Mus musculus: one gene and its partners. The protein of the gene in region 3 purifies or fractionates together with the protein of the main gene of each other region. This does not show direct contact. Links are inferred from orthologs where the notes say so. Each region holds a gene or a part of one and is shown on either strand. Other genes may lie near its edges. The genes, in order: Tle2, Wdr5 and Cct4.

Region 1 (11,209 bases), on a different chromosome or scaffold from region 3:
CACTGCTAAATTCTCTGCCTCTGTCAGCTAATAGAGTAGTGAACTATTGTACAGATGGGAAAACTGAGTTCTATGAAAATGCATTACAGTGAGACTTGTAACTCACCAAAAACTCAAAAACACTCAAAAACCTTGAGAGTGGGGGATGGGAGCTCTCAGCTGAGCAAGAAGTCTGCCTGCGTGAGGACCCAGGCAGGACTTGCTGAGGCACACCCGTATAGCAGAATTTAAGACACGGAGGCAGAAGGATTATCCTAAATTCAATGTAGTATGGGCTACAAAGCAAGACCATGCCTCAAATTAAATAAACCATAGCTGGCTCAGTGGTTCTAATGTCAGAATCCAAGAAGCAGGAGGATCTCTGTGAGTGAGACCCTGTCTCATAAAACAACAGTGCTCATATCTCATTCACCAGGCCCTGAGTTCTAGCCCTGGCATCCTGTACTTTGGATGTGGTGACGCTGGTGTCCTCGCAGAGCCCAGGTGGTGAAGGCTGGGGACATGCTGCACCCACAATCCCCTAGCCTACTTGAACACAAGCAGTTTCTCGCAGTGGGCACTCACCCTGCTGGCAGCTCTGTCCACTGCAGGAAGCCGAAAGGAAACAGATGATTAGGGGTTTGTAACCCTGCAAGGCTTCAGTGGGTGGAACGCTCCTTCCGGGTCAGAACCCGACCTCCCACATCCCAGGGAGATGCCTCTGCAGGAACAGCTAATGTGTTCCCAAGGACAAACAGCACGAACATTGAACCCCACAGCTGCAGCCCCTACTAGCTGTCACCGTCCCGCCAGCAATGGGTCGCCCACTCACCTCTGGACCCCTCGGCGTCCACACCCACACGGTCTTCCTTTACGGCAGCCACCAGCTGGGCCTGCGCAGCCAGTGCCCCAGATAGGGCCAGCAGCCCAGTGGCCCCGGCACCCACCAGGCCGGCTGGGCGCGGGGTGAGAGGCACGGGGGGTGCGTGGGACAGCGGCTGGAGCTGATTCTGCTGCTGAATGGGGAGAGGATGGCCTGGGGGAGGCGGGCAGCGAGTGGCGGGGACAGGGTGCACAGAGGGTGAATGCTAAGTGCAGGGAGGTTAGCACCCACTGCGTGCCTGGGCTGGGAGCAGGGCATCTCCTAAGACCAGCTGGGGCGACTTACCCCCAGGAGGCTGTTCAGTTCCCCCACGGTCACCTGCTTGGCTCGGTCCACAGCCTGGAGCACCTGCTGCTGATGCTAGGGCCAAAGGGGATGTGGGCACTAAGCCACAGGCTGTGCAGTCCAACTCTGTCTGTCTGTCTGTCTGTCTGTCTGTCTGTCTATGTGTATTTCTGCATGTGGAGGGTGGAGGCTGCTGCTGTCTTTCACCGTATTTTGAGGTGGCTCTCACAGCCCAGCTGGAATCTAGCCAGTAGCCCTAGGATCTCCTTCTGTCCCTGTCTCCCCTGCTGCAGTTACAGGCAAGGAACACCACCCCTCACTTTTCCCAGTTGCTGGGGATTTGAACTCAGGTCCTCATGCTTGTGGGACACCTTCCCCAGACCCTCTCTGACTGCTTAACTGACACTTCAGAGACCTGGCCTCTTCCACAGGCTCTGGGGCCACAGTTCCAGGTCATGCTTTGCAGGGCCTACTGGACCCCTAGGGATGCTGGGCAGTGTCCCAGCCTCAAATCACTTGCTAGGAGCTCCGCGTGACGCCACACTCTGTCCACATATACAGTGTGTCATGAATAAGCACCACATAGAAAATAAAATACCTGTATTCCAAGCATCCACACGCCAAGTGCCCAAGTACCCACATGCCAAGTACTCATACACTAAGCACCTACATGCCAAGTATTCATAAACCAAGCACCTACATGCCAAGTACCCACATATCAACTACCCACAGGCCAAATACTCATAAACCAAGTACCCACATGCCAAGTACTCATAAACCAAGCACCTAATGCCAAGTACCCACATATCAACTACCCACAGGCCAAATACTCATAAACCAAGTACCCACATGCCAAGTACACACATACCAAGCAGCTACTTGCCAAGTACCCACATACCAACTACCTACATGCCAAGTACACATAAACCAAGCACCCACATACCAACTACCCACAGGCCAAGTACCTACCTACTAAGGACCCACTTGCCAAGTATCCACATACTAAGCATCCACCTCAGAATGTGCAGCCTGGGGCTGGGCATGCAGGTCAGGAGAGGACCCACCCAGCATGCTTATCCCCAGCACAACAACATTAAATATGGATGGATTCAATAAACTTGAGCATACATGGCTGGTGGCCTCACTGAGATGATCTGTCACCCACCCTCAGGGGAAAGGCAGCAGGTCCCACAGAAAAGCTGAGGTTGCTGGCTGTGTGGGGTACCCAGTGTGCCCATCCTGGGGTGGGACCTGCCCATGTCTCTGGAGGAACACCTCCACACAGAAGTGGCAATGGCCAACACCAAGGTCCTATGGTCAGCAGGAGCAAGGCAGGCCACGGAGCTTTCTGATGTTTCACGAGCTAGTCACACTGGTGGGTCAGCCTCTGTCTGTACTGATGCTGTGTTTTCAAAATCACTGTCCTAAAAATGCCTAACAAAACTTGCTAATCGGAGCCATCTCAAGTACATGGATGAACATGAAGCTCATTCGCAGGGCCCTGTGGCTTTCCCCACCATCATCTCTGGAGCTTTCCAACTCCCTTAACTGAAGCTCTGTCCCTGCTCTCTCCCCAGCCCCACTCACCCACCATGGCACTTCCTGGCCCTGGATTTGATAACTTCAGAGTTCTTGGGAATGGAAATCTGCAGAGTGTCCTGTGTGTGCCCTGGCAAGAGTCACCAAGAGTCATCCTGTAAGATTAGTCCCATAATTGCTCACCTAACTCTCAGGACACCCTAACCAGTAGGTAAGCACAGAGAGGCATGTATCTTGCCTAAGGACACCAAGTCAGGACTTGTACCAGCAGATGTAAGCCATGGGTACAGGAGCACCCCTAGCTAGCTCCATCCAGAGCAGAGAGCCAGGGTTAGAGAAATGGCTGAGTCGGTAAAATGCTTGTCATGGGAACATAGGGACCTAAGTTCGATTCCCCAGAAACACTGAAAAAAGCCAGGCATGGAGTGTGTGTACGATTCTAGCACCGGTGAGGAGACAGGAAGACCCTGGGACTCACTGACTAGACAGCTTCCAGGCCAGTCAGAGTCCCTGCCTATTTAGAGGGGGTGGGATGGCAAGATATCTCAGTAGGTAAAGATATTGCAGCCAAGCCAACAACAACCTTAGTTCAATCTTTGCAAACCACATAGTGGGAGGAGAGGACCCATTCCTGCAAGTTGACTTCTGGCCTCCACATGTCTGCTATGGCCTATGCACCTCTTCCCAAAAAAAATAAATTATGGGTTGGCTCAGTGGCTAAGAGCTCTGGCTGCTCTCTCAAGGGACCAGGGTTCGATTCCTGGCACCCACATGATGGCTCACAACCCATCTGTAACTCCAATTTCAGAGGACACAGCGTCCTCCTCTGGTCTCTGAGGGTACTGCACACATATGGTGCACAGATATGTGGACAAAACACCCATACATATAAAATTAAATAAATGCATTAAAGTGTAATAAAAGCAATCAAAGGAGAATGGCACCGTGGGAAGCGCACACACCAAGGCTGACCTCTCTCTGTCCTCATGATATGCACACTCATGGACATATGAAGGGCAGAATGCCCTTGGTCCTCACCCTCAGCCAGTGTCTAACCAGGCCCAGGACACCCTCCCTGCCTCCAAGACTCTGCACACTCACCTCCTGAGTGAGGAACGGGACCATCTGGGCACAGATCGCACTGAGGCGTTTCACAATCTCAGCCTGGTAGAGAAGCAACAAGCTGGGTGGCACTGGAGGGGGACAGTCACCTCCACCATCCAGCCCCCAGCACTAGAGGGGACAGTCACCTCCACCATCCAGCCGCCAGCACTGGAAGGGACAGTCACTTCCACCATCCAGCCCCCAGCTGGACTGAGCATTCGTGGAGCTGCCTGGCTAGGGAGTCCTGCAAGTCTGTGACACCTCCCCACCGCCCTATGAAGCCCTCAGAGATGCAAACATAGATGGACCGATGATGCCCAAGGCAGCACTGTGGTCATTCCCCGAGGCCCTAGAAACCTGTGTGAAAGAGTGTGTGTTTGTCTGGCATGACCCAGCTCTCTGCAGGTCTTTGGGGGGCTGTTCTGTGGTTGCCTCTGGTCGCCTACAAGGCCTGTGTCCTCCACCAGGCAAGGACCAGTAAGGACCAGCTCTCTGCTGCCCACATCAGCACCAAGTCCCACAGAAACCAGGGGAAGCAAATGGCAGGTGAGGCTCACTCAGCATCTACCTGCACAGAAAGGAGCCTAGGGTAGGGCTCCAGCATGGAATCATGAGTGTTCGGGGGCAAAACCTATAAATCCACTCATCAACAGATCTCTGAACCCTCAGGACCCCCTAGAGCCACTGGCCACTTTGGGGACTCAGGGTTAATTACAGACCTCAAAGTCAATCTCCACATAGAGTGTATCTCAGAACCCTAACACCATAGGCTGGAGTCTCAGAAGCCCATGGGATCAACCATGCAACTCCAAATGCTATCTCAGAAGCTCAAGCCCTCAGAACCTTCAGGGCTATCTCAGAACCTCCAGTCCTTGGAACTGTCAGTTATCTCAGAACTTTCAGGGCTATCTCAGATCCTTGAACCCTCAGAACCTTCAGGGCTATCTCAAATCTCAGATCCACTCAGAACCTTTGGGATGACCACCTGAAATGTGGATGAACTTAGTTAGACCCTCCCCGCAGACACCCGTACCCCACATGGTCACCTGTTTATGCATCTCAATGTTGAGTCCGTAGGACATCTCGTAGTACTGCAAAGGAGACAGTCTTGGCCAGTGTGGATAGCTGGTGCCACCCTGGGGACACTGATGGGGTGCAGCCTCGAGGGGGTGGTACGAGTATCAGGGCAAGACACAAACACCCTGAGCCCCATGGAGACCCAGACAGGGAACCCACAAGATGGATCACGGATGGGCTCAGAGAGATAGGACAATCAGGTAGTCCCCCAAATTGGAGGGGGGGGGAGACCCACAGAACAGTGCCTGGTATCCCAGCCTGCCCTTTTTAGGGAGAACACGGAAGTGGGCAGAATGGGCAGGTACTCCTTACCATCACATAATGCCTTTGCATTTCTGTCTTCTCGCTGGCCAGCTTCTCACATTCTAGCTTGAGGCTGGGCAGGAAGAATAGACAAAAATGGGGGTTGACTTGCCACACCCCACATGGGTCAGTTTCCACAGTGACAGGCAGAAGCTGCTGGCTCCCCATTCCTTTAGAAACTGTTCCCAGTCCTCTCGAGCCCAGATCTACTCCTGGGACCAAAACATTCTCAGGGAAGGCTTTCCCTGAATCCATTCATCTCACACTCTTCTGGGCACCACCTCCACCAGAAAGCCCTCCAGTAGGCCCAATGAGCCCCGCCCCTTGCCCTAGAAACCACGCCCCTCCAAGAGTCCCCGCTCACCCCCATGGGGCTTCCCAGGGCCCAGAACTAGGGCTCCCTCACCTGTGGTACTGAGCTTGAAGAAACTGGAATTCCTCTTTGATCCGGTCACAGATTTCCAGTACTGAGAACTTGAAAGGCTGGCCAGACTGCAGCGGGGTCTGAGGGGGAGAGTGGGAAAGGACACTAGGGTGAGTTCCAGGGCAACAGCAGGCAGGAGTCCCCTCCCTGGTCCCCACCTCCTGCAGCCAGAGATGGGAGTCTCCGTACTCACCGGGTGCCTTCCCTGAGGGTACATCCTGCTGATGGATGGGTGAGAGAATGGACCCCCCCAGCTTCTTGGAGGCTTGAGGATGTGGCAAAGGGACGCTGAGGTGCAGAGGTGGCGCTGGGGAGAGAATTGGGTGCGGGGAGGAGCAGGCAGTAGAATTTGGGGTGCTAAGCTAGAGCTGGGGTGCAAGGAGACTGAGCCTGGAAAAGCTAGGAGAGAAGCCGGAGCTGGGGGAGGGATTTTTACGCAAAGAAAGAGCAGCCAGGGAGAGCCTGTCGGGGCAGGGGACCAGGACCCCGCGCTGCGCCCCCCCTCCAGCCAGCGCGTCCGGGGTTGTACAACCCAGGGGCAGCTGCAGTCAGCGCCGCAGGTCTGTGGCCGCCGCCCGGGGTCGGCGCTGGTGGCCTCAGTGGCTGCGGAGCCGCCTCCCTCCGCGGGGCTCGGCTGGGAGCCGCGGGCGGGACCCGCCTTAAGGTGGCACCGCCGCCCCCGCCTGCTCTGCTTCTTCGGTTCCAAGACCCGCTGGGGAAACTGAGGCTTGGGTTCGATCCTAGTGTTCCCGCCCCACCCCCACTCAAAAAAAAAAAAAAAACCGGGGGGAGAGAAATTAGGCAAAAAAAAAAAAAAAATCTCTGTGCGCGCGCCTCTGGAGCCGTGGGGGCTGCAAGTGGCTTCTCTGGGACAGCGACACTATGCCCTTATGAAGGATAAACATCCCCAAGATCGAAAGAGAGAGAGATACACACCTGTCCCAGGAAGAGCAGACCCAGGCTATGCTTGTCAACCAATGCTGCCCCACTCTGGAGAGATCCAGGACAGAGCCCAGGGCAGCTTGGTCAGGCTCAGAGCCCACTACAGACTTGCATGCTAGTGCCACCACCAGCCAACTGGGTGGCCTCCTCTATCCAGATTGGGCTCCTAAAGGACCAGACTCTTTAAACTTAGTGCATAGAACTCTTGTGTATCTTGAACCGGAACACTAGAAAATCTTCTGCAGGGGCTTCACCACTGACCCCGCCCCCAGACCTTCACTGGGAGATTCTAGGCAGCAGCTCTACCTCTGACCACACCCCCAGCCCTTCACCGAGGGATTCTAGGCAGAAGTCACCCATGACCACGCCCCCAGCCCCTCACTAGGGATTAGAGACTCCACTCTTGACCACGCCCCCAGCCCCCTTTTACTTTTGGAGGCAAGGCCTTGCTAAGTTGCCCCTGCAAAGCTTGAGCTTGGAATTCTCAGTCCCTGTAGTAGCTGGGACAACAGGCCTCTGTGTGCCATCAGGCCACCTCCTACATCCCATCAAGTTTAAGGGTGTCCCCCAGAGCTGAGAAGCCACCTGTCACCATGGAAACCCCCTTCCCCCCAGGAATCATCCTTTGTTTCCAACTCTGGCAGGACTAGACCTCAGAAGAGGAAGGAGGGGACCCACACCTTCAATCCCAGCACTTGAAATGCAGAGGCAGGCAGATCTCTCTGAGTTTCAGGACAGCTTGGTCTACTGTGGTGGTTTGACCATGCTTGGCCCAGGGAGTAGCACTATTTGGAGGTGTGGCCTTGTTGGAGTAGGTGTAGTCTTGTTGGAGGAAGTATGCCACTCTGGGAGTGGGCTTTGAAGCTCTGCCAAGTGCCTTAGTCAGACTTCTTCTAGGGGCCTTCAGAAGAAGACACAGAACTCTCTGCTCCTCCTGTACCATGCCTGCCTGGAGGCCTTCATGCACCTGTCTCGATGATTATGGACTGACCCTCTGACTCTGTAAGCCAGCCCCAATTGCCTTGGTCATGGTGTCTGTTTACAGCAGTAAAATCTTAACTAAGATATCTACAGAGCAAGTTTCAGGACAACCAGGTTCTACACAGAGAAACCTTGTCTCAGGGAGAGGGAGGGAAAAAAAAAAACCAAGGAAAGAAACCTGAGCTCTGGTCCATCATTAAATCAATCAATAAATGTATGCCTGGTGCTACTGTGAACTACTATGCACTGGGAAACAGTGGGCAACAATCATAGGGGAAAGACCTCACATCCACATTAACGTTTGGATCTCTGTGGGCAGCTAAGTCAGCTACAGAGGACAGGGGCCTTTATGAGACTTGCACGGGGCCAGCGCTCTACAGCAGGAGGATACTAGCTGAAAACCTAGGACTTCCAGGATAAAAGGACAGAATGGAGCTCTCTCTGATCAAACTCTGGGAGATGAGCCACAGAGCAGCCAAGATCACAGCTGGCTGGTCAGGAGCTGTATGAAAAGCAACAATTTAGACAAGCGATGACAGAGGAACAAACATGAGCCACTGCGATCATATGTGTGGGAGAGCGCTCAGTAAGGTTAACATTGTAGATGGAACTTTACAAAGTCCGTGGGCCCAGAAAGTGACAGTCTTTCTGACCTAGACAGTTAGCCCTCTGAGAATGAGTGTTCTGTAACTCCTTGGAGCATCTGCCAGAATCCCCGAGAGGGGACTGGGGGCGTGGTCAAGGGTGGATCCCAGCCTAGAATCCTCCAGCGAGGAGGCTGGGGCGTGATTAGTAGTGGAGCCCCCCTTCACCCCATTCCCCACCCTAGCATCCTCCAGTAAGTGGCTGGAGCCATGGCCAGGGGTGGAGCACTCTCAGTATCTGGACCGCCATACTCTCCAGCATCCTAGGCGTTGCCCAGCCTTAAGGCTGTCGCAGGCGCTGTACAAGGTGTAGGTCCTTCTACATGGACCATTCTTTCAGGTTCTGGCCACTCATCCTCTCCCCTGCAGAGGCCTGTGCTGGTGCCTTGAAGCGCCTCCCAGCACCTGCTACTAGAAACACGGCATCTTACTCCTCAGCCCTAGTTTCTGCTTTACTGTTTACTCATTTTTCCCTTGCAGACCGAGGAACACACCTGGCTCCTGGGAAGTCTGAGAAAACAGTGTCCCACAAGCTGTCCCCAGGCCCCAGCGGTTCCTGATTCCCGGCTTTTGGTGTCTGAGAACTTCTGATCCCCAGAGGCCCCCGGGACTCCAGAATCTCCACTCCCTGAGCTATCGCCTTTGCCAACCCTCACCATCTCCCCAAATCAAGCTTGTTTGCTATTGGTTGCGTTTCCCAATCTAACCCAGGCTGGTCTCATCTGGGGAGTCAGGGTCGCAGGTGTGTGTCACCGTGCTTACACTGCCAAGATTTGCTCAGACCAGCCCCACCCCCATGTCCCACGCAGCACCCTTCCTGCTAGTGACCCTCAACCTCGGTTCTCTAAGCCTATACACTCTCCGCTGGTTTTCTATTACCCGGAGGACACATTCCCTCTTAGCACTATTTGTGCTGGCCACACCCTCTACCCTCCCCTATTCAGGTACCCTGTCATGATTGAATGACCTAATTTGAGTTCTCTTTTCCTGGAATCTCTTCTCCCCCCTAAAGCTATCTCCATCTTATTCTAAGATCAGCCCAAGGCCACCCGCTGCAGCCTCCCCAAAGAAGGGCAACTGTGAAGGAACCCAAGGCCAAAGGGAGCCTCCTAGAGGGTGGGAGCTCCTGGAAGGGGGCCACTGCCCCTCTGTTGTGCGGCCTGGGAAGCCACAGCCTCTGAGCTTCCGTGGAAGCAGAGGATATGATCAGGGGTTTCCTTTTAGAATGCCTGAACCCCATCCCTGGACAGACACCACACCCGAAGTGGGGAGCACCCTCAGCATTTCCCACCTTCCTGGGCCACTTTTTCCCATTCAGCCTGGTCATGGATCCTACACTTTGCAAAGTGGGGCTCAGCGCCTCAAAGTGCGCCCCTGCCTCAGTGTGCACACAGGCTCCGTAGTTCTGCGCGGTGCAAATAAAAAACAGAAAAGGGAAAAATCTACTACTCAGAGCCGGGACTGCTCGGACCACCTTAAATCAGACTAGCCGCCCCGCTGCCGAGGGACCCGTCTATCTCCTCCTTGGTTGGTCGGGTATGCCAGCCAATCAGCTCCCGAAGATCCCACATGGGTCTCTGACGTCACCAAAAGCACTGGCCAATGAAGGCTGGGTACCCTGTAGCCAATAACAGAGAACGGTGGTCTGGGATAGTCCAATAGGAAAGCTCCCGATGGGGCTGGGGCGTGCAGCTCCTCCTCCCCGACACCCCCCACCCCTCGTGAGTGGGGCCCCGCGTGGTGGTCCCTGAGGATCTTGGACCCCCTTTTAAAAGTAAAAGCCCCTTGAAGCTGACCGTGGTAGCGGATTCCTGGTATTCCAGCACTTGAGAAGCTGAGGCAGGAGGACCGTTGTCATGTCGAGCTTAACGTGGACTACTGTCTCAAAACATTTTATATTAAAAAAAATAAAAGTAAGTCCTTCAACTCGGTGGCTACCTTGCCAAGGCTCAGCAGCCAAAGCTTCCTTCGGCCTGTTTCAGAGATAGAAACAAACTGAGGCAAAGAAGGCAACTTGGCCGTTTAGGGAATGGCTGCGATTTGATTTTTGTCCCAGCTAACTTCCCAAGCTTAGTTAGTTTGACCCATTAGATCACAAGAGGGGGTAGAATAGGTTTACAGGGAGTTGTGAGGTTGGAGGTGCCGGGTGTGCCTCAATTTACCAGAGTGGACATTGCTATTGCGAGCAAGCATTCTGGACCGGAAAAAAAAAACAACAAAAACTACGAATCCCAGAAGCTACCGCGCGCCGCATCTGCTCTGGCTGTCAATCAAAGTAACGTGGGTCTGCGCCCCCGCCCGCCGCTTCCCTCCTGCCAGCTCCCGCTCCCTCCCCATCGGCTCCCGGCCCGGCGCGGTATAATTACAGCCCATTGATCCGACCCGGGCCGGGAAAGCGACTCCCTCAGGGAGGCCAAAGCCTTTGGCTTCCGACAGCGCCAGCCTCCCCTTCCCCGCGCCCCCAGCTGAGCCACTGGGCCACCAGCCAGGCCGGTCCCCTCCTGCTGGCCAGGGCTCACGGGTGACCTCCGAGCCCCAGTTCCCTGCCTGTCTTGGCGGGGGGGGGGGGGGGGTGGGAAATCACGCACAGGAGCGCACACACAATCATTTTCTCCTTAAGAATACGGGGGAGCCATCCCCTCCCCGCAACTTACTGCTTAGTTTTCCCATAGAATTGCCCCCTGCTGTGGCTTGGGCTAGGCTAATGAGAGGGCTCAGGAGGGGAGAAACCCGGGACAACCGAGCCTGGAGTCACAAAGCTGCTTAGAAAATTCCCAAGACTTCCTAGATGTAGGTGTTTTATACTGGGGCTCTGCAGAGGGCATAGGAGTTGGCTCATTAGAAATCCCTCTAACTAAACACTGGTCAAACTAAAACGGGGAGCCCTGACCTCTGACCTTGCTTGTGTGCCCCTGATTCAGCTTCTTACGATGACTAGAAGTAGAAGGAGGGTGGGCTGCAGCTTGGCATGTGGGAAGGAAGTACCAGGGTTGGCTGAAGATGTAGGCAGTAAGTGAGCAGCTAGATAGACAAAGGGGGCTTGTGAAC
Region 2 (9,436 bases), on a different chromosome or scaffold from region 3:
ACCCTGTCTTGAAAAACCAAAAAAAAAAAAAAAAAAAAAAAAAACCACTGGGTCTACAGATGTACCGTGCCAGGAGGCAGTGGTTACTGTGGGATGATGTGCAGGCACATATCCAGTTTAGATGCAGCCATTACATGCAGCTCCAAGAGGGAATGCTAGAGTTGGTTACATTTGCTTCAGTTAAACAGTTGTCCTAGGGAACAGTGAAATTCTGTTTCTTTGGTTTTGTGGTGCCCTGCCCTCCCCACCCCTTTTCTTCCCCTCCAGACAGACAGGATTTCCCCTGTGTAGCCCTGGCTGGGCTGGAGCTCATTTTGTAGGCCAGGCTTGTCTTGGACTCAGAGATCTACCAGCTTCTAGAGTGCTGGGATTAAAGATTGTAATTTGATGCCCAACAAAATCTGTGATCTGTGCATTTTCTTTTTTTTTTTTAAATTGGTCTGTGTGTTTCCCAGTATACACATGTCCATGTGCTTGTGTATGTTTTTCCCTGTGCTCAGCACATGTGTAGAGGTCAGAGAAAGCTTTTAGGAGTTAGACTCTTGTACTGTGAGGTCTGTGCATCGAGTGCATGAGCCATCTCAGCAGTGCCTGAAACTTGTAGGTTTTTTTTTTTTTAGGTTTTTCAAGACAGGGTTTCTCCGTATAGCACTACTGGCTGTCCTGGAACTCACTCTGTAGACCAGGCTGGCCTCGAACTCAGAAATCTTTCTGCCTCTGCCTCCCAAGTGCTGGGATTAAAGGCGTGCGCCACCACTGCCCAGCAGGTGCTTTGTTTTATATCTATTGTTGGCTAAACTCTAGTCTGAGAAAGGCAACCAGGTGCATGGCCAGGATTTAGATTTGGGTAGGCAATGGGCAGTAAGGCCTGGATTGAGGTAGGCAGGCCTGTTTGGCCCAAGGTCTATTTCTCTTCTCATCTTCAGGTTTAGACATTAACGTTTAGACATTCTTTTGCAGGGGATGGGATGCTGTTGAGACAGATTTTGTTTATATTTCTGTCTGTCTTGATACTCTGTAGTCCATGCCAGCCTCAAAATGAGATCTGCCTCACCTTTGCACCCTGGAATGCTGGGTGGGATTAAGGGTGTGGCACAGGTCTTGATTTCTGCAGGCATCTGTTTCAGAGGTGGCCTGGAAAGGCGCACAGGTGTTGCTCCATGTCAGCCGAACTAATAGCATTATGTGGCCCAGTTACTCTCTCGTGTCCCTTTCAGTGTTTGTGACCAGTCACGAGAAACGGAGCCCCCTGCGAACCCCCTGTGGTAATGTGTGTGTCAGGGTACACCAGCCTCTTGTATGCACACTTTAGGGCCTGGTATGCTTCCTTGGCTGGCCGAGCAGGCCCACCTCAGGATCCGTTCTCCTTACCCAGGCGAGGGGCAGGGCCCTCCCCGCTCTCCGCATTGGCCCACTGTGCAGAAGGATATGACTTTGTTGTGCTCTGGAAAGCAGCTTTTATGTGGGCAATTTGTTGGAGGCCTGGCTGCTCAGCAGTGCAACACCCCAGCCTTGACCCCGCTTGCCAAATGCTGAGGCTAAAGTCAGCAACCTGGTCTTCAGGAGGCAGAGGCAAGGCCATCAAGAAAGGAGAACTTGCTTGGCTGAAGAATGGGCGGTTGTCTCTAAGACCCCCTAGGTCAGGCAGCTTTCTTCAGGGGATCAGTTCTTCAGCAGTGCTGGAGAGCTTTGGGCCTCCTTCCTTATGTGGTGGAGGCTTGTTGGCAGGGCACTGGGTGAAGACTTAAGAATGTGAACGGCCAGGGAAGGTGATGGCATGTCAAAGCTCTCTGGTGTCCTTCTAGAGTGATGGTGGCAGGGTCCCCACACAGTCAACATGGGTAACTGGGAGCTGACTTGCATCTCGACTCTGCCAAAGATCAGCCTGTTTTTCTTCTGTGTAGATGATGACAATCCTCCAGTGTCCTTCGTGAAGTTCTCTCCAAATGGCAAATACATCCTGGCTGCAACTTTGGACAAGTGAGTGCTTCAGTTCCCTGAGGAGTGAGCTCACAGTCTTCTTCGTTGGTGGGGTTCCTCTCCTGTCTGTTGTGTTGTTTCTTCTCCCAGTTGTCCAGTTGAACTCTTTTATATCTGCATTAAGAGTTCGTTCTTGGGTTGTGGGTTGAGGGGTTGAAGAAAGGACTGTCCACTCTAGCTAGTTTTAGTATGAGAAGGATTTGACACCTAGTTGTTCCTGCCAGTTCCCAGGCTCTGAGCATCTTCACGCAGCATAATCTCACTGCCATACATGATGACCTCCTCTTAGGTGCTCACTTAATCTGGCACACACTGTACAAAGTCTCTAAGGAACCTGGCCAAGTTAGCTCTTGAGAGCTGCCTGAATGGCATTATCCTGGTTAGTTTTTTTTTTTTTTTTTTTTCCATTTTTTATTAGGTATTTCGCTCATTTACATTTGCAATGCTATACCAAAAGTCCCCCATAGACACCCACCCCCTCTCCCCTACCCACTCACTCCCCTTTTATGGCCCTGGCGTTCCCCTGTACTGGGGCATATAAAGTTTGCGTGTCCAATGGGCCTCTCTTTCGAGTGATGGCCGACTAGGCCATCTTTTGATGCATATGCAGCTAGAGTCAAGAGCTCCGGGGTACTGGTTAGTTCATAATGTTGTTCCACCTATAGGGTTGCAGATCCCTTTAGCTTCTTTGGTACTTTCTCTAGCTCCTTCATTGGGGGCCATGTGATCCATCCAATAGCCAACTGTGAGCATCCACTTCTATGTTTGCTAGGCCCAGGCATACTCTGACAAGAGACAGCTATATCAGGGTCCTTTCAGCATAATCTTGCTAGTGTATGCAATGGTGTCAGCATTTGGAAGCTGATTATGGGATGGATCCCCGGATATGCTAGTGTCTACATGGTCCATCCTTTTATCTCAGCTCCAAACTTTGTCTCTGTAACTCCTCTGGTTAGTCTTCCACTCTTCTCCAAGGTCGGCATGAGTCTCTTCCTGTGGCACCTGTACTGGGTGTTTCTGGAGCCAACATGGCTTTCCACATTCTGCTTCTGGCTAACTGCTAGTTTTGGGAAGACAACCAGCAATCTGTTTCTTCAGCCTGTTTCTGAGCTGAGCACTAAGGTCCTTGTGTTTGCTTTTGTGTGTCACGGAGTGGCTGGGCTTGGTGAACTAGAGGATCTTCTTTCCTGACTCACGGTTGTTAGGATACGGTGGCATCAGGGGAGGCAAGGCGTGCCAAAGATGGCCTGCCCCTCACTCCCACTCTCTGTCTTTCAGCACACTGAAGCTCTGGGACTACAGCAAGGGGAAGGTGAGCTTCAGGCATGTGGCCGGTCTGGCCTGCATGCCAGTCCCAGGTAACAGGTTGAGGGGGGTATAGCTAACCCATGAGTTGCAGCAGGAGGGACTTGGGCATCTTCTTCTGATGAGCAAGTATGGTACAACTCCCTTTAAAGATATGTTTTAGGAATGACTAGTCTGCACGTTAAAGTCTGGGCCTTGTGTATGTCTAGAATATTTAGAGAGCATGTTCACACAGTCAGGTGTATGTACCCAGAATTTGGAATGCTCTGGAATGAAAGCTAACCACGGGTGCTAACAATGCACACCTACCTTTTCAGTGCCTGAAGACATACACTGGCCACAAGAATGAGAAGTACTGCATATTTGCCAACTTCTCCGTGACAGGCGGGAAGGTGAGTTTCCACTGAGATGTTGTTATCCTGCTAGCTCTCTAAGAGGCCACCCATCACAGGTGGCTTTTTGTCTTTATGAAGCATCCCTAAGCCTATGGAACAAACCCACACTTGTCGTTTTGAATGAATCTGTGGTGTGTTGCACTTGGATATGGTTGAAGATCTAAGAGCAGGTGGTGACTGGATAGATCCAGTGACTGAGGGTGCCGTGGGAGGCATTTAGCATGTCCCTAAATTGGGGAAATAGGTATTAATTAGAGTAACCGCAGCCAGCTTGCCTGTGCTACCTATTCAGCATATCACCTGATGTCTTTCTTGCCTGTCCTCACTGCCTGCTTGTTCTTTCGATGCTGCAGTGGATTGTGTCTGGTTCTGAAGATAACCTGGTGTATATCTGGAATCTGCAGACCAAGGAGATTGTGCAGAAGTTGCAGGGTCACACAGGTGGGTAGTTATTGCAGATAGGCCACACGGGTGGGTGGAGCCACCCAGGGGAGCCTCTCAGTTCCCCAAGGTGCTTGGTTGTCTCTGGGGTTTAGGGACACACAGCAGGTGTTGCTACTCTGTTTTCCCTGCCATCCCAGCCCTGCAGGCCTGAGAAGGCCTATGATCAGCCTTGGAGGCAGCATCAAGGGCTCTTATCTAGGGTCTTGGACATGGCTGGCTTTTGGGTCTTAAGTCAGACTCAAGCCTCATAGGAATATAGCTTGTTTACTTCACTTTAGAGACTAGGACTCCATGAATATGGAGAGTGTCTAGCCCACATTTCCTGTAGGCTCAGCCTCTTTCAGGGATGCTGGTTTTCTGTTTCCCCTGCAAAACTTAGTCCAGCTATGGAGTTACCTCATTCTAGTTCTTCCCTGTCTACTTTCTGAAGCGGGCCAGGGATGGCAGGGATATCATGTGCTCCTTTGCAACCCTAAGGAGTGGAGAGCTCGTTTTCTGAAAAAGCAGTTGTCTTCAGCTGGGAGTGGCTTGGTCACACTTGCTGTGGAACCTGAGCACCAGGGAGCAAGCAGGGTTAGTGGACTGCATGCCATCTCAGTAATGCCAGTATCCCTGCCCAGATGTATGGTTACCTTGTGCTCAGGTAGAACAACCTCAGGAATAGTAGGGGGCAAGTGGGCATAGTCAGTCCTGAGACCAGTGTAGACAGGTGTGCAGACCCTGCTGGGTACCCACCAAGTGCCTTGTGCCCAGCAGAGCAAGGCTAAGATGCCTGTTACTATTCTGGCATTCTGAGCACTCCCCTGAACCCTGCGGTGCTCCCTGTGCTCCTGAGGGCAGTGAGGCATGTGCTGGGACTGCTTGTCCTAGAGTGGCTCCCTGACTACTCTCCTTTCAGATGTTGTGATTTCCACGGCTTGTCACCCGACAGAGAACATCATTGCCTCAGCAGCGTTAGAGAACGACAAAACAATCAAACTGTGGAAGAGTGACTGCTAAGTCCTGGCTCCATGGGAGACTTAAGGAAGCCACCCGGATTGGCAAGAAACACATGTGGGGCAGAGGCATGGGGCCAGGCTGGGTTGACAGGCCTGGTGCACCTCCTATCTGAAGATGTCGGCTCAGGGGAGTGCACACTACCGAGTCTTGATAGCCACTGTGATATTTCTTGCCAATTCTGTCTCTGCCTGGGGAAGTTCCTGGTCTGTTCTGTGCTCAGAGGCAACAAATTTTTAATTTTTTTATTACAAGAGTGAGTTCAGCTCCTCATGGGTTGTTTTTCTCTGTGGTTGTTGTTTTGGTATTGTATTGCCCAGTGCACACTGGAACAGGACCTACAGCCCTACTCCCATTCCCTGCCTCCTGCCCTGGCCTGCTTGTTCAATTTTCCTGCCTGTAATAGTACCCAGCGTGCTTCCATGAGTTTCTGGAAACACAGAAAGGTTGTAAGTTGTATCCGTGTCAAGTCCCTTTGTTCTTTTGGAGTTCATAGGTCAACACTGACCTCTCAGTGGTTGAAATGTCTCCTTGTCTCACTGGTATCACTCAGTAAGCTACACACACTGTAATAAAAGGTGGGTATGGACTGGGTGTGGCCCTGAGTTCTGACCAGGCTCTTTGACACCTGGCTTTATAAAGCCCTCCTCCCTTCCTGGCAGGAGTTGGAAAGGTCTCTGGGAGGATGGATCCTTGTTGTGCCTCTTCTTCCCAGTGGCTGCTGTGGGTGCTGAGTGTTGGAGAGGAAGAACCTCAGATGAGAAAGAGTGGAAGGAAGTCTTGGAAAGGCACCATGTAGTGAGGTTCTGGACCTCTTTATTCTGTGAGAGGCTCAGGGTCACCTGTGCAGGAGGGAGGAGTTCAATATGGTGCTTGCCCCAGCAGGTACAGCTTCCTGCCTTGGCCTCTAAACCCACCAAACCTCTCTTATGTCCTTGGCCCCCGCCCCAGGTCACCGCCTCAGGTGACCAGGACTGGAAAGAGGTAGTGGCCAAGCTCAGGACTACACAGCATTTTCACAACTGCTGCTGGCTGAACCCAGGGTGACCTACTGTGGAGCAGACTGCAGAGGTTCTGGGAGTACAGATGGGTGGCGGAGGCTGCTGGGCACAGACATGGGTGGAAAGGAGATTCTGGGTTTGCTCTGGTTGCAGCAGCAACCATCTGTGAGGCCAACACTGATGTGTATTGAAGCCACATCACCCAGGGCAGTAGCTGCTCTACTCTGCCTTTGCCAAGGCTTGTCCCCAGCTGTGGTCCTGACAGCCCTTTCTCCCTCCATCGTGCATAATAAGAATCCAAAGGTATTGGAAAAGAAACCCCATACATTGTCACTTCCTTGAGGGAGATGGTGTGTAAATGGGCTATCACATCGAAGAAGCCATTGTTAAAGAGGGTGGCTTGTCACACTGACATGGGCTCTGGGGCCCCTGGCGTCTGTTGGATAGATGAACCTGGGTTCTGGTCAATGTTGTGGGCATGTTGCTGGGGTTTCTGGAGGGTAGTAAGGTCCTTCCAGCTGTGGCCTGGTGTGCGGCCTCCTCCTGAGGGAGGGAGCTTGCTTGCCATGTCGAGCACAGTATCCCCGAGTATAGTTTATTTTTTCTACAGTTGAACTCTGTTGTAGATTTATGTAAAAATACATTCTCTTTTTAAAAATAAAGATTTTCATGCCTTGTAATTTTGTTCCATATAAGTTTGTTTTTTCCAGGAATTCATTCTGTGTGCATTCATTGGGTGTGTGGAGATCAGAGGATTACCTGTCATTCCCTCCCACTTGGTTGGCACTCAATAAGGATTTCTTTAGCAGAACAGGCAGTGGAGGAGCACACCTTTAGTTCCAGCACTCAGGAGGGTCTAAGTTCAAGCAAAGCCTGTCTGCGGAGCTAGTGCTAGGATTACACAAACCAAGGCTCAAATAACAACCAAAGGGAGAAAAAAAATTTTTTTTAAAGATTTATTTATTCATTATATGTAAGTACACTGTAGCTGTCTTCAGACACTCCAGAAGAGGGCGTCAGATCTCATTACGGGTGGTTGTGAGCCACCATGTGGTTGCTGGGATTTGAACTCAGGACCTCTTGAAGAGCAGTCAGTGCTCTCAAGTGCTAAGCCATCTGCTCAGCACAACCCCTCCCCAAAAAATTTGCTTTTCTTTTAGGTAATGTGCATATGTGTGATGGTTCATGTGTGTAGAGTGATGCCAGATAACTTTCTTGATAGCTCCCCACCTCAGTAGTTCTCTTACTTGAACCCAAAGCTTTCCAATTTGGCTAGTCTAGCCGGGCAGCATAACTGGGAGCCTTGTGGATGCTGGGAAGGCGGGCAGGCTGCTGTGCCTGCCCTGCATTTACACCAGTGCTAGGGATGCATGCTGATTCTCAGGTCTATGTGGCAAGTGTATTATCCACTCAGCTGTCTTCCCTGCTCCCAAGTCTGCATAATTTACTTTTGATGGGTTTAATGTAAATCTCTGAAGTACGGTGTCATGGATCCTGTGTCAGTAGCTTTAGTATAAGTGGCTTTGGAACTGGGCACAAGCAGCTGTTCATGCAACATTGGCCTAATGGAATGGCTTTATATGGATTTCTGCTGGGTGCCCTGTGTTCTTGGTGTACACAGGCTGTGACCTTTTCTGGGCAGACATGAACTAAAGTCTAGTTACTAAGACTAGAGAACTTAAGGTCTAACCCAGGTAACAAATCCAACTTGATCAGTGAGTGTCCTAAACCAGCCAGCCCAGCCTGAGTGACAGCCCTGGAGCTCCCCAAGCCAGTGGGAGGCACAGTGGGAGTCTCTGCTTAGCATTTTTAAAGATGTGCCCCATGTTGGTGGCACACATTTAATCCCAGGTATGGGACCCATGGATCTCTTGTCAGTTCAGGGCCAGCCTGGTCTACAGAGCTAGTTCCAGAATGGCCCAGAAATATTTGCTTTATGTATACGAGTGCTTTGTGTTTATATCCCATGTGTGTGTCTGGTGGCTATGGAGGCCAGAAGAGTGGGTCTGATCCTTGTGATGGTTGTGAGTGGACCTGAGTTCTGGAAGAGCAGCTAGTGCTCTTGAACCTTGAGCCAGCCTCTCCCTAGCAATTGGGGAGGAGCCTTATAAGTCCTGTAGCTTTCAGTTTATTGGGACTAAGTTTCTTTTTGGAGTTCATGAGCCTCCCTCCACCTTCCAAGAGAAGTGTGTTGCTCCATGGCCCAATGCCTTAAAGGTTTCCACCTTCCTTTTTGGCTAAGGACTTGGTTCTAGCCGTGTGGGCCTGAGTATGACTGCCTGTCAGTGGGTTCCTGAGGAGGGGTGCAGCCCTGACACCTTTGCGAGTGGGTCTGTTTATCCCCAGGGTGTATCAGCTTTGAAACTCCTTGGTGTTTTTTTGGGATTGTTTTAAAATGACCTCAATTTTGCATATTTTAGAGTAAGGCACACAGAGATGACATTTCACAACTAACATCTTGAGAAATGCTTTGAAGTATATTCCTTAAACACAAGCAAGGGACAGGTATGGCTCTAATCTCACTGAGGCAGGATTTATTTATTTAATGTAGATGGTTGTGAGCTATCATGTGGTTGTTGGGAATTTGAATTCAGAGGATTTCTGCTCATTCTGGTTGGCCCCCACTCCAGTCCTGTGCACTGTAGATGTCTTCTGACGCACCAGAAGAAGGCTTCTGAGCCACCATGTGGTTGCTGGGAATTGAACTCAGGACCTCTGGAAGAGCAGTCAGTGCTCTTAACTGTAGAGCCATCTCTCCACCCCAGGACTTTTTTTTTTAAGATGTATTTGGTATATAAGTATTGAGAGTTCAAGACCAGCTGAGACCCAGTCTGATAAACAACATTCTCTTCTCTGTTTCTCTTTGTCTCTCTTTCTTTAAATTTAAATGCATATGAGTGTGTGTGTGTATTATATTTGTTTTGTTTTTCAAGACAGGATTTCTCTGTGTAGCTCTAGCTGTCCTGGAACTCACTCTGTAGACCAGGCTGTCCTCGAACTCAGAAATCCTCTGCCTCCCAAGTGCTGGGATTAAAGGCGTGCATTACCACTGCTAGCCCAAGGCAACTCTTCTTATACATATACATATACATATATATATACTGTAGCTGTCTTCAGACACACCAGAAGAGGGCATCTCATTACAGATGGTTATAAGCCACCACGTGGTTGCTGGGAATTGAACTCAGGACCTTTGGAAGAGCAGTCAGTGCTCTTAACTGCTGAGCCATCTCTCCAGTCAACTCTTATAAAGGGAAACTCTTATAAGGCAACTCTTATAAAGGGAAACATTTCACTGAGGCTGGCTTACAGTTC
Region 3 (10,236 bases):
ACTGGAGTTCAGTTTTGTTTGTGGTTCAAAATCCAAGCCTCACCCTTTCATGTCTCCTGGTTTGCCACCATGGACTCTTAGCCCTGGCTGGCCTGAGTGCTGGGATTAAAGGTGTACACCACAATACCCTGCTATTTCAACAAAACAAAATAAAATACAACTAGAGGTAATCAAAATAGCCTGACAAGTTGAGTTTGATCCCTGAAACCCACAAGGTTAAGAAAACTGATTTGTTTCCAGTTTGCCTTATTTCCAAGTACCCTATCATGTACATTCCTCCCCAATATACAAACACAATAGGCAAAAGGAAATTAAAGACCTAACATCTGGCACACACCTGTAATCTCAGCATTCATTTAAGGTTGACAAGGGAGGATCAAGAGCTGAGATAATCTGCAGGACACAATCAATTCCGGGCCCAGCTATATGAGCACAATCTGAAAACTAAAACCACCAACCAGGATAGGGGGACGGTTCATTTGGTAGTATGCCCTGGGTTTCAATCTCAAGAGCTGTACAAACTGGGCGTCACAGTGTACATCTGTTAATTCTAGCACTTGGAAGGTACACAGATCAAATGTTCAAGGACAGTTGAGATGTCTCACAAAACAAAAACCTACAAACCAAACAACCACAAGTGAACAAACAAAAATAATGTTAATACACAGAATTAAGCTGTAAGATCAATAGGTAAATGTTAAAATTTGAAGGTAGTTTACCTATAGGCAGTTTCTCCCAAGTATCAAAAACAGTATAATTTTAAAATGACAAGTTAATATGGAGTTTAAAACCAAGTATTTAATGTTTTCATTAAATTGTTTCAATACAATTTCAAACAAATGCCAACTGGAAGACAATGTCCAAAAACTCTGAAGCTTCCAGACAAGGAACAAGGTGGTTGTCCTTCATTCCAGCCACAGTACTTCTGTCCATAATGATGCAGTCAACCATCCTTTTATCCAGATTATCGAGTATTTACCTGATGAGAAAAAAACACTTAGGTTTCAAAACTTGTAATCACATAACTTGTAATCATGTTTAAGATAAATCTTTGCTTCATTTTTATGGAAAAAAAATTAGTCATGAATTAGTCTCTTCTTGATGAGTAGCAAGCTTTTAAGCAAAATATAAAACTTTTAAGTATGCCTTTTTGACTTCCCCTGGAATTTAACTCTATTCGCTTACCACATCATCGATTTTCAGAATGCTCCGCACAGTTTCAGTTGCTAAGGTCAAAGCACTGACTGACACCAACAGAGGCTGAACAACCATTTCCTCCAAAATGTTGGAGATCCCACCCTGCGGAGAAGCAGATGCCTTCAGTATCTGATCACACAATAAACACGAGCACAGGTATCACTCTTCTGTACTCATCTGGCATGCTAATTGCTGATACAACAGAATACCCTGTTCACACTTTATATCTACTTAACTAGTGCCCTCCCAAAAGACCTATGAGGTACTGTTCTTACAACCCAGGAAGTCAAAGACCAGACTAAGTTTTACAAGTTAGTAAATGACAGTAAATAAATGCTATTTCCCATGGCATCATCTTTATTCTGAAGAACATGCAGTAAACTTGCCAGGTCTCAGGTGTAAATCCAAAATCACACTACTTTTAAGTTCAAAAGCCTACTAACCAACAATGACAAAATTGTAAACGTTTCCTTCCACCAATCTGTTCTTCAGCAACTCTAAGCACCAAGACTATTACCTTTCGGACATTAATGCCTGTAGTTTTTTCTCCTTGGGCATGGCGGTTTCTTAGCTCTGTTACTGTAGAAATGGGATTCAGGCCAGCATTTTCAGCTAGTGTAGATGGAATGACTTCCATAGCATCCGCGAAAGCACGAACACAGTAGGACTCCATACCACTCAGTGTTCGGGAGTACTCTGTCAGTCTGAGGGCCAGCTCTATTTCTGGAGCACCACCTCCTGCAATAAGAGCTCTGAAATTCACAAATATTTTTAGCTTATTTTTACCCCAAAGGAAGCTACTTTACTAACTTTATAAAAGTCAAGATAAAGCAGTTTGGTTGTCTTTTAAAGGTAAGCTGCCCTGTAACTTGGATAAAGTAGAGGAAGACACAGAGCTTTTGATCTTCCTCCCCCACTTCCTAAGTGTTACAGATGTGCCCCACCACATCTGCTGTATGCAGTGCTGGGTGGAGGCTGAACTGGTCAATTACTGTTATCAATGGTAGGTATTATATCCCAGCCTCAAATTAAAGTCTTCAGAATATTGAGGCCAGCAAGATGGCTCAGCATGTAAAATGCCTGACACCAACCCAAGTTTGATCCCTGGGACCTACATGATGGTAGGAAAAGAAGAGATTGCCCCAGGACCCCACCCCCCGAGATGCTACATTGTGCGCGCGCGCGCACACACACACACACACACAGAGTAATAAATATGATGCAGTACCTTTTCTTTACTAAGCATCGGATGACACAGAGAGCATCATGAATGGAGCGCTCAGCTTCTTCAATCACCAGTTTGTTAGAACCACGTACGACAATTGTAACTGTTTTCCCTGGGCTTGTACAACCTGTAATCTTTAGTGAACAAATTTCAAATTAAGTAATTGGCTAAAAGAAAAAAACAAAAAGGTAAGAAAAAAAGGCTTAACAATATATTGTTACCTTGAATAGTTTTCCAGAACCATTTAAACTGACTTCCTCTGCTAACTCAGCAGAACCCAGCATGTCAGCAGTGAACTGGTCAATGTGAGCAACTGGTTTGGTTCCAATTGTCTGGAAAAAGATAATCAAGTGCACATATCAAGACAGCATTGTGCTAGACACAAAGCTCAGTGGAAGAACAAGCACTTGTCTGGTATTTTATTCAAAGCACTAGACTCAACACTGGACTGCAAAACAAAAAAAAACCACTGCTGGGCCTGGAGACATGGTTCAGTAGTTAAGAGGCTGGGTGCTCTTCCAGAGTACCCAATGGCAGTTCATAGCTCCAGGTGGACCTGAAGCCCACATGAGGTCTCTAAGAGGACCATATGGTGCAGAGAGATACATGCATGCAAGCACATACATAAAAACAAAACAAAAAAACTTAAAATTAAAAACTAAACCAAACAACTATCCATAACATACAAATCAAACCCACAATACATGTTAATGGATATTTTTGCACACATTAATTTTACCTTACAGATGAATTCAATGTCTTCTCTTTCAACGTCCTTAACCACCATAATCTTCATCTTATTCAGAAAATGTAATGCAAGATCACTAAGGGCATCTCTAAAACACAAAAGTGTTATCTTACGTTTAAAAAGTGTTATTGTTGAGTAGTTAAGATTTTAATTTTACTCTTATCCAAATGGCTAATTATGAAGGGAAACACTTTTAATGTTCCATTTACAAGTTCAAAATTCTCTCCCTCTTCCTTTTGAGACAAACTCTTCCTATGTAGCTTTAGTTGTCTAGAACTGAGAAATCTGCCTGCCTCTGCTTCCTAAGTGCTGGATCAAAGGCTTGGGACATTATTATACCCAGTAGAAGTTCAAAAATTCTTCTGAAGGTTTCTAATTTTACTAGAAAAATTACTATGACACAAAACTGTACATGACAAGTGGGCTGTGATTCTTAAGAAGTGAGCACATTTTGCTAGGTGACCGCTTACATTATTCAGAAGCACAATTCTCACAAACGAGCAAACCAATCCTAGTAACAGCAACCCTGTGATCCAGCAAGACAGACATTACCGTCCTGATCAAAGCTAAGCAAAAACCAATTTACTCAAGGGCAGAGCCACTAAATGACTAGAGACTAGAGCAGCCTCTTACTTGCTTACAAAGGACTCTCTATACCTTCTGGCATAGCTTATTAGGGAAGTAAATGGGAATATGTCTATCTATTTAAAAATAAACAAAAAACACCCCAGAAATGGAAAAAGAAAAAGATGAGTTCAAATTTGAGACTTCTCTTGTCTATGCAGTGCCCACAAATACTATTTTTTAGTTAATTAGTTCAGCAGTGGTTTTTTCACCGTTTTGAGACAATTTCACACACCCCACAATAGCCTAGAATTTTACCTGGTAGCTGGCCATTGACTCCATCCTCCTGCCTCAAGCACTAAAACTAAAGGCATGTGACACAGCACCCAGTTTAAGTCATGCTGGAGATCAAACCTAAGGCTTGTAGGCAAGCAGTAACAAGCTATATCCCTCGCCTCAAACAGTTTTAAACAGCTTTTTAAAAAATGTGGTTTTCATTTTTTTTCCTTTTAAAAATAAGTGTTTTGCCTGTACTCAATCATATGAACCATGAGTATGCCTGTTGTCCCTGGAGTTCAGAAGAGTGTGTCATTCCCTGAAACTGGCATTACATGTTTGTGAGCCACCATGTGGATGCTAGGAGGCAAGCTTGGGTCCCTGAGCAACAAGTGACCTCAAAAACTAAGCCCGTTCGTCTTTTCACTTTCATCTCACTCTCTCCCAGACTGGCCCGACTTGTAACCTTTCAGCCTCAGCCTTCTGAGCACTAGGACTGCAGGCAAGAACAACTATGTTAGACCTTCATTTTCTTACAGCCTTGATCTAAAAAAACCCTACTGGCCATGTTTAAGAGAAAATAGTCCTGTATTTATAAATGAAAATATGATGCACCAAAATATGCACTTTAGATTTCCTGTGCTTTAGAGACTAAGTGTTTAAGAACTGCTGGGTAGAGGCAAAGATGGCTCAGTAGTTAAGCAGTGCTTGCTACTCTTGCAGAGGGCTTGGCTTGGGTTCAGTTCCTAGTTTCCTAACAGAGCAGCTCACAGCTGCTTAGAAACTCCAGTTCGGGGCATCCAACACCTCCTTCTGATCTCCAAGGATCCAGATCCTGTACACATGCAATGCACATACACATTATTTAAAAGTTGCTTGTAGGATCCCCAACTCAATTATAAATCCAGGGAGAAGAAAGTAAATAGAACAGACCTCAGGATAGACTTCTGTATGAGAAGGACATTACATCCTGTTTTCTTAATTTGCTTCACCAAATTTAAAATATAGGCTCTCTCCTCTCGAAGCACTCGATCCATCTGGGCATAGTCAGATACTACTATTTGATTATCCATCTGATGGGAACAAGAACACAGTAATTATTTTCAGCAAGAGATTTTAATGTTAAGTGAAAGACCAGCCCACACCTACCAGTTATATAGGTATGCACAGAAAAGGGTCTAAAATAAACCATTCTATTATGTTTTATTTCAGTTGTTTTTGTATTTTTTTTTAAAAGTCAGGGTTTCTTGGTATAGTCAAAGCTGTCCTGGAACTTAACTTGCTCCAAACACAAGGTTGGCCTTGAATTCAGGAGATCTACCTGCCTCTGCCTCTAAAGTGCCAGGCATTTGTCAGTACCGCCTGGCTAAAGCTTATTTTTCTTTTTTAATATAAGATTTATTTTATGTATGAGTACACTGCAGTTATCTTCACATACTAGGAGAGGGTATCCTATCCCATTACAGATGGTTGTGAGCCACTATGTGGTTGTTGGGAGTTTAACTCAGGACTTCTGAAAGAGCAGTCTAACCACTGAGTTATCTCTCCAGCCCCAGCTGATTCTTTTCAGTCACACCCATTACTGATATTTTGTATGTTTGAAAGACAAGACCTCACTATGTAGCTCACAGCTCAAGCTGGCCTTGAATTCACCATCCTTTGAGTACCAGAATATAGATACATATGACCACACGAGGCTCTACTGCTTCTGAAACTTTTTGCATGTGCATTTTTGGTAACTGAAAAATCCAAATTCCCCAAAATGAAGTTGTTCTACATACCATATGTATTACAGAAATAATTTTAATTCCATCCTTTTTACTCTGTGGCTTGTCATCATATATAATGCACAAAAATTAAAGATCAATTTTCATATGGCTATTTTTTTGAACAAAATACTGAACACACCTATATGTTGGCAGAATATAGTAAAAACAAATCTGAGGTACCAACACACTTTTTAGAGAATCATACTAATATGGTAATATCTTTCATAAAAAAAATTTTTATAGTTTGGCTATCAAGTTAGTCTAAGGCTCCACTTGCACAAACACAATCTTTGTGGGCTCCAGCAGGTAATATCTCAGGAAGCTAGACACAATCTGCAAACTCAAGGAATGAGTACAACACACACACACACACACACACACACACACACACACACACACCTTTCTATTTTATGCAAATGCCTATAATCAGTCTCCACCTTATTACTTGTAGTAGCAACAATTTCTGATTTTGTCTCAATTTTATTGTTTTGAATCTACATTTTAAAGACATCACTAATACCAGCATTTTCTATTTTCATCTTAAAAAAACAGATCTTACTAGAAAGTTAATAAGTAGGAAACCAGCTTGGATTTTACTTACATCTGTTTTAGGAGCAGATAAGCAAAACTGAATAAGCCCAATCTTAGCCTTTTCAACTCTTGTTATGCCAGAATTTGCTACTTTCTGTGTGAGAACGAGGCCTTCCACCAGCTCACAGTCATCTATTGTCCCACTAGGAAAAAATAATCAGAGCAGAGGAAATGCTTTGGTCTTACTCATTCTCAGAACCCATTCTGGGACCTCTTGGATATACTTCCATCCTACCATAAGGAAATACAGGCAAACCCTTGAGGATACCATATATAATAAAGTTTAAGTCAGCAAGTATTTCTAATGTTCACTTTCAGAGTTATTTTCACTTATGTTACATCCACTGGCCCAGGCAGAAAGGTAATCGGACTAAGAACATCTTTGTTTTTAAAGGGTTTTGTGGAGACAGAACCTCACTCTAGCTCAGCCTGTCATGGAACTCACTATTTATTCCAGGCTGGCCTTGAACTCATAGCTAGCCTCCCACCTCAGCCAATCAATTGCTGGCACTAAATGTATAAGCCACCCCTAGTTGTTCTTCAAAGTTATCTGGTTTTGGCAAAACTGAAATTGAAATCAGAGACGCTTACCCAAGCTTCTTAACTATTTTAATATCTCGAAGATCTACACTGGTAGCTGTGGCTGGGTCAATCACTTTCATCACCGCATTGACACTCATTGGAGAGAGTAGACTTGAATACTGAGAGACAACCTAGATTTACAACAGAAAGTTACTTCTACAGAAGCAATAATTTAAGAAATACCGACTTTAGATTTACAAGGACTTATTATCACCTATTAGGATACAGTAGATAAGACACTAAAGTTAAAGTTGTTTTCTCCACCCAGTTTGCAAATTGCTCCATATACAAGTTAAGAATATATATGCTTTTCTTTTATTACAACACTTGACACTATCAAGATTGCAAATAGCAATAAAGGAAAAAAAGGCATTTAATTTTATGTGAAGAATTCCTACCTAAGTTGTACAACCCTGGTTTTCCTAGAATGTATTTTGTAGACCAGGCTGGCTTCAAACCAGATCTGCTTGCCTGCACCTGCTGAGTCCTGGAATCAAAGGTGTGTGCCACCATGTCCAGCTAAAAACTCCTTATTCTTTCGTTAGCTCTACTGATCATTTTACCTCAATCTTAAAACCAATTCCGTTATAGAAATTATTATTACTAGTCTTCTTGAGGCAGTGTTAGATACAGTTTAGCAATTAATGCTCACAACATCATAGCACACCGTTAACTGTAATTTAATTCTCCTTAGTGGTAGTCTCACCTTTGAATTCAATGAAGTAGTTGCGCTATTTAACAAAGTTTCTCTGTCGCTCAGTTGCACAGGTCGAGACATGTCAGTAAGGATTTCAAGACCCTTTTCCAAAGCTTTCTGGAATGACTCGGAAATGATGGTTGGATGTATACCTGCCATTTATGAACCAAGTTAATTACAACCTAACTATTTATCACTATTTTAAAATGTTTTACTCATTAAAATGTCAAAATAACCTAGAAATCTATTTATTTCTACAAAAAGAAGCCTTGCAAAAATAAGAAGCAAAATAGAAATTCTTGACAAAAGAGTAGTTACTTCAAAATTAAACCCCACATTACTTAATAGTTTGGCTTTTTATGTTTGCCTTTTAACAATTTTTTCTCCATCATTCTTCATTAATGAAAAGTATATTATACTCTACATACCTTTCTGCAGAAGTTTGGTACAGGAGTCTAAAAGAGAGCCAGCAATGATGACAACCGACGTGGTGCCATCTCCTGCTTCTATGTCTTGAGCTTTAGACAATTCCACCAGCTGTGTGAACAGAACATGACAAGATGCTAAGAAATGAGACCCTAACAGCGAACTCAGAGCATGACATCGATGTCACCTACACATAGCTAGAAATACATTCCTCTTGACATCTGATTTTTACTTTACTCTAGGTTTCATTTAAAGATGAAAATCCATGTATTAATGGCGCACAAAATTGTCCTTATGATTTCTAGTTTAAACTGTAGATTGTAAAGAGTTCTCAGGCAGGGCAGTGGTGGCGCAAGCCTTTAATCCCATTACTTGGGAGGAAGAGGCAGGCAGACTTCTGAATTCGAAGCCAGCCTGGTCGACAGTGAGTTCCAGGACAGCCAAGGGCTATACAGAAAAACCCTGTTTTGGAAAAACCCAATAAACAAACAAACAAATAGTTCTCAGAAAATTCTGTCTGAGGTCCTGTCCAAAAGCATCACTCCTCAGGGTTGAGGATGTGGCTCAGGAATGCCTGCCTAGCACTCAGAAAGCCCTGGGGGTTGGAGCCCCAAACAGCATAAAGGAGATGTGGTGGTACACATGTAATACCAGGACCTTTTTGCTACAAAGCAGTTCTAAAGGTTCTAAACTGGCCCAGGCCAAAATGATACCCTGCCTTAAAAAAAAAAAAGTCGTACAGGTATCTTATATAGACGGAGAACCTATGAAGTTATTTTAAACTCTATTAAGTTTTTCTGAAGTGATCACATAGAAACATACCATTATTTAGAAAGTCAACCTTTTTTTGTTGTTGTTTTTTAAGACAGGGTTTCTCTGTGCAGCCCTGGCTGTCCTGAAACTCACTCTGTAGACCAGGCTGGCCTCGAACTTAGAAATCCACCTGTCTCTGCCTCCCAAGTGCTGGGATTAAAGGCGTGCGACACCACGCCCGGCAGAAAGTCATCTTTAAGTAATGGAAGGAGACCTTTTTGAAGCATGCTGTCTACGATAGGCTCAAATGATCCTTTTGCTTCAGAGTACTGAAGATTATAGGAATCTGCGGTACTCAGCTGTCCATTCTAACAGAGAGCAATTCCTAAAGCTCATTTTTGTTAATACAACTTCTCACTTGTCACAAGACTAATTGTGACTCCTAAATTATAATTTTTGATAAAGACCAGTGAGAACTGAACATCTGATATGTGATTAAAATTATTTTGTTTTCTAAGAACTGTGGGTGTTTAGTTTAGTTCTTGTTGAGCTTGCACAATGCCATGGGTTCAATCCACAGCAGTATCAACAAAAAGAAAAAAGATTAAAAAATAAAATAAAACAACTTACAATAGAACACCTCACAAAGAACAGTATCTTAAAAATGTACATTTTTAGCATAAAGTTAAAAAGATTCTCCATGTTTAAATAGTATCAAATTTAAGTCTATTGAGTATCTTACAAGTACACTTAAAAACAAACCACTTAACAAGACAGCACATGCCCATACATATGCTCGCTGGATTGCTGCCAAGTTCAAGGATCTACAGTGACTAGCAGGTCACTAGGGCTACTGAACAGGATTATGTCTCAAAAACCAAAACACTCATGTACACTTACCATTCTGGCTGCTGGATGCAATACCTGCATTTGTTTCAGAATGGTGGCACCATCATTTGTAATGGTCACATCGCCTTTTCCATCTTGAATCTGGAAAGTTTTGTTTTTTAAAACTTTAATGCAATATTCTACTAGTTCTATTCCATTTACTATTACATACAAGTTAGTTTATATATGTATATTGCTTAACTCAAAATACCTTTCCTTAGTAAAACAATGTAAGAACATTCAGATCAACGGGCTCTGCCCGGGCTGCTCTCTTACATGTGTGTATGTGTATATATTTGAGGACAGCGCTCAGAGATGGTGTGTGTGTGTGTGTCAGATCCTCTGCATCTAGTAATGGCGGCACAGCCTGGGCTCTCTGTAAGAGCAGTATGTGCCCCTCTCTCTAGCCCCCGCCCAGGGTATGTAAAGGAGTCTAGAGGGAAATCATTCAGTAAAGTTCAAGCATGGAGGCCTTAGTTCAGATGCCCCACATCCCTTGGCTAGCCATATTGGTTTGTCA

The links.
Region 1: the proteins of Cct4 (region 3) and Tle2 purify together in Homo sapiens (affinity purification with mass spectrometry; 3 studies listed by BioGRID and IntAct, with this or other methods). This does not show direct contact. The link is inferred for Mus musculus from reciprocal best matches to the Homo sapiens genes CCT4 and TLE2.
Region 2: the proteins of Cct4 (region 3) and Wdr5 purify together in Homo sapiens (affinity purification with mass spectrometry; 3 studies listed by BioGRID and IntAct, with this or other methods). This does not show direct contact. The link is inferred for Mus musculus from reciprocal best matches to the Homo sapiens genes CCT4 and WDR5.

Annotation. Positions count from the first base shown.
Region 1 is NC_000076.6:81,570,270-81,581,478, reverse strand, and holds the start of Tle2 (transducin-like enhancer protein 2), read right to left. Parts: upstream 6,193-11,209; 5' UTR 5,812-6,192; coding exon 5,788-5,811; intron 5,675-5,787; coding exon 5,577-5,674; intron 5,244-5,576; coding exon 5,180-5,243; intron 4,951-5,179; coding exon 4,837-4,950; intron 4,148-4,836; exon of another isoform or gene 4,009-4,147; coding exon of another isoform or gene 3,937-4,008; intron 3,851-3,936; coding exon 3,788-3,850; intron 1,223-3,787; coding exon 1,148-1,222; exon of another isoform or gene 996-1,147; coding exon 812-995; intron 585-811; coding exon 565-584; intron 1-564.
Region 2 is NC_000068.7:27,529,735-27,539,170, forward strand, and holds the end of Wdr5 (WD repeat-containing protein 5), read left to right. Parts: intron 1-1,904; coding exon 1,905-1,980; intron 1,981-3,258; coding exon 3,259-3,292; intron 3,293-3,602; coding exon 3,603-3,677; intron 3,678-4,033; coding exon 4,034-4,121; intron 4,122-5,022; coding exon 5,023-5,123; 3' UTR 5,124-6,801; downstream 6,802-9,436.
Region 3 is NC_000077.6:22,993,880-23,004,115, reverse strand, and holds the end of Cct4 (T-complex protein 1 subunit delta), read right to left. Parts: intron 9,819-10,236; coding exon 9,729-9,818; intron 8,187-9,728; coding exon 8,078-8,186; intron 7,802-8,077; coding exon 7,659-7,801; intron 7,084-7,658; coding exon 6,962-7,083; intron 6,514-6,961; coding exon 6,381-6,513; intron 5,084-6,380; coding exon 4,944-5,083; intron 3,259-4,943; coding exon 3,162-3,258; intron 2,755-3,161; coding exon 2,644-2,754; intron 2,557-2,643; coding exon 2,426-2,556; intron 1,950-2,425; coding exon 1,715-1,949; intron 1,300-1,714; coding exon 1,186-1,299; intron 980-1,185; coding exon 965-979; 3' UTR 780-964; downstream 1-779. UniProt on the Homo sapiens protein: Component of the chaperonin-containing T-complex (TRiC), a molecular chaperone complex that assists the folding of actin, tubulin and other proteins upon ATP hydrolysis.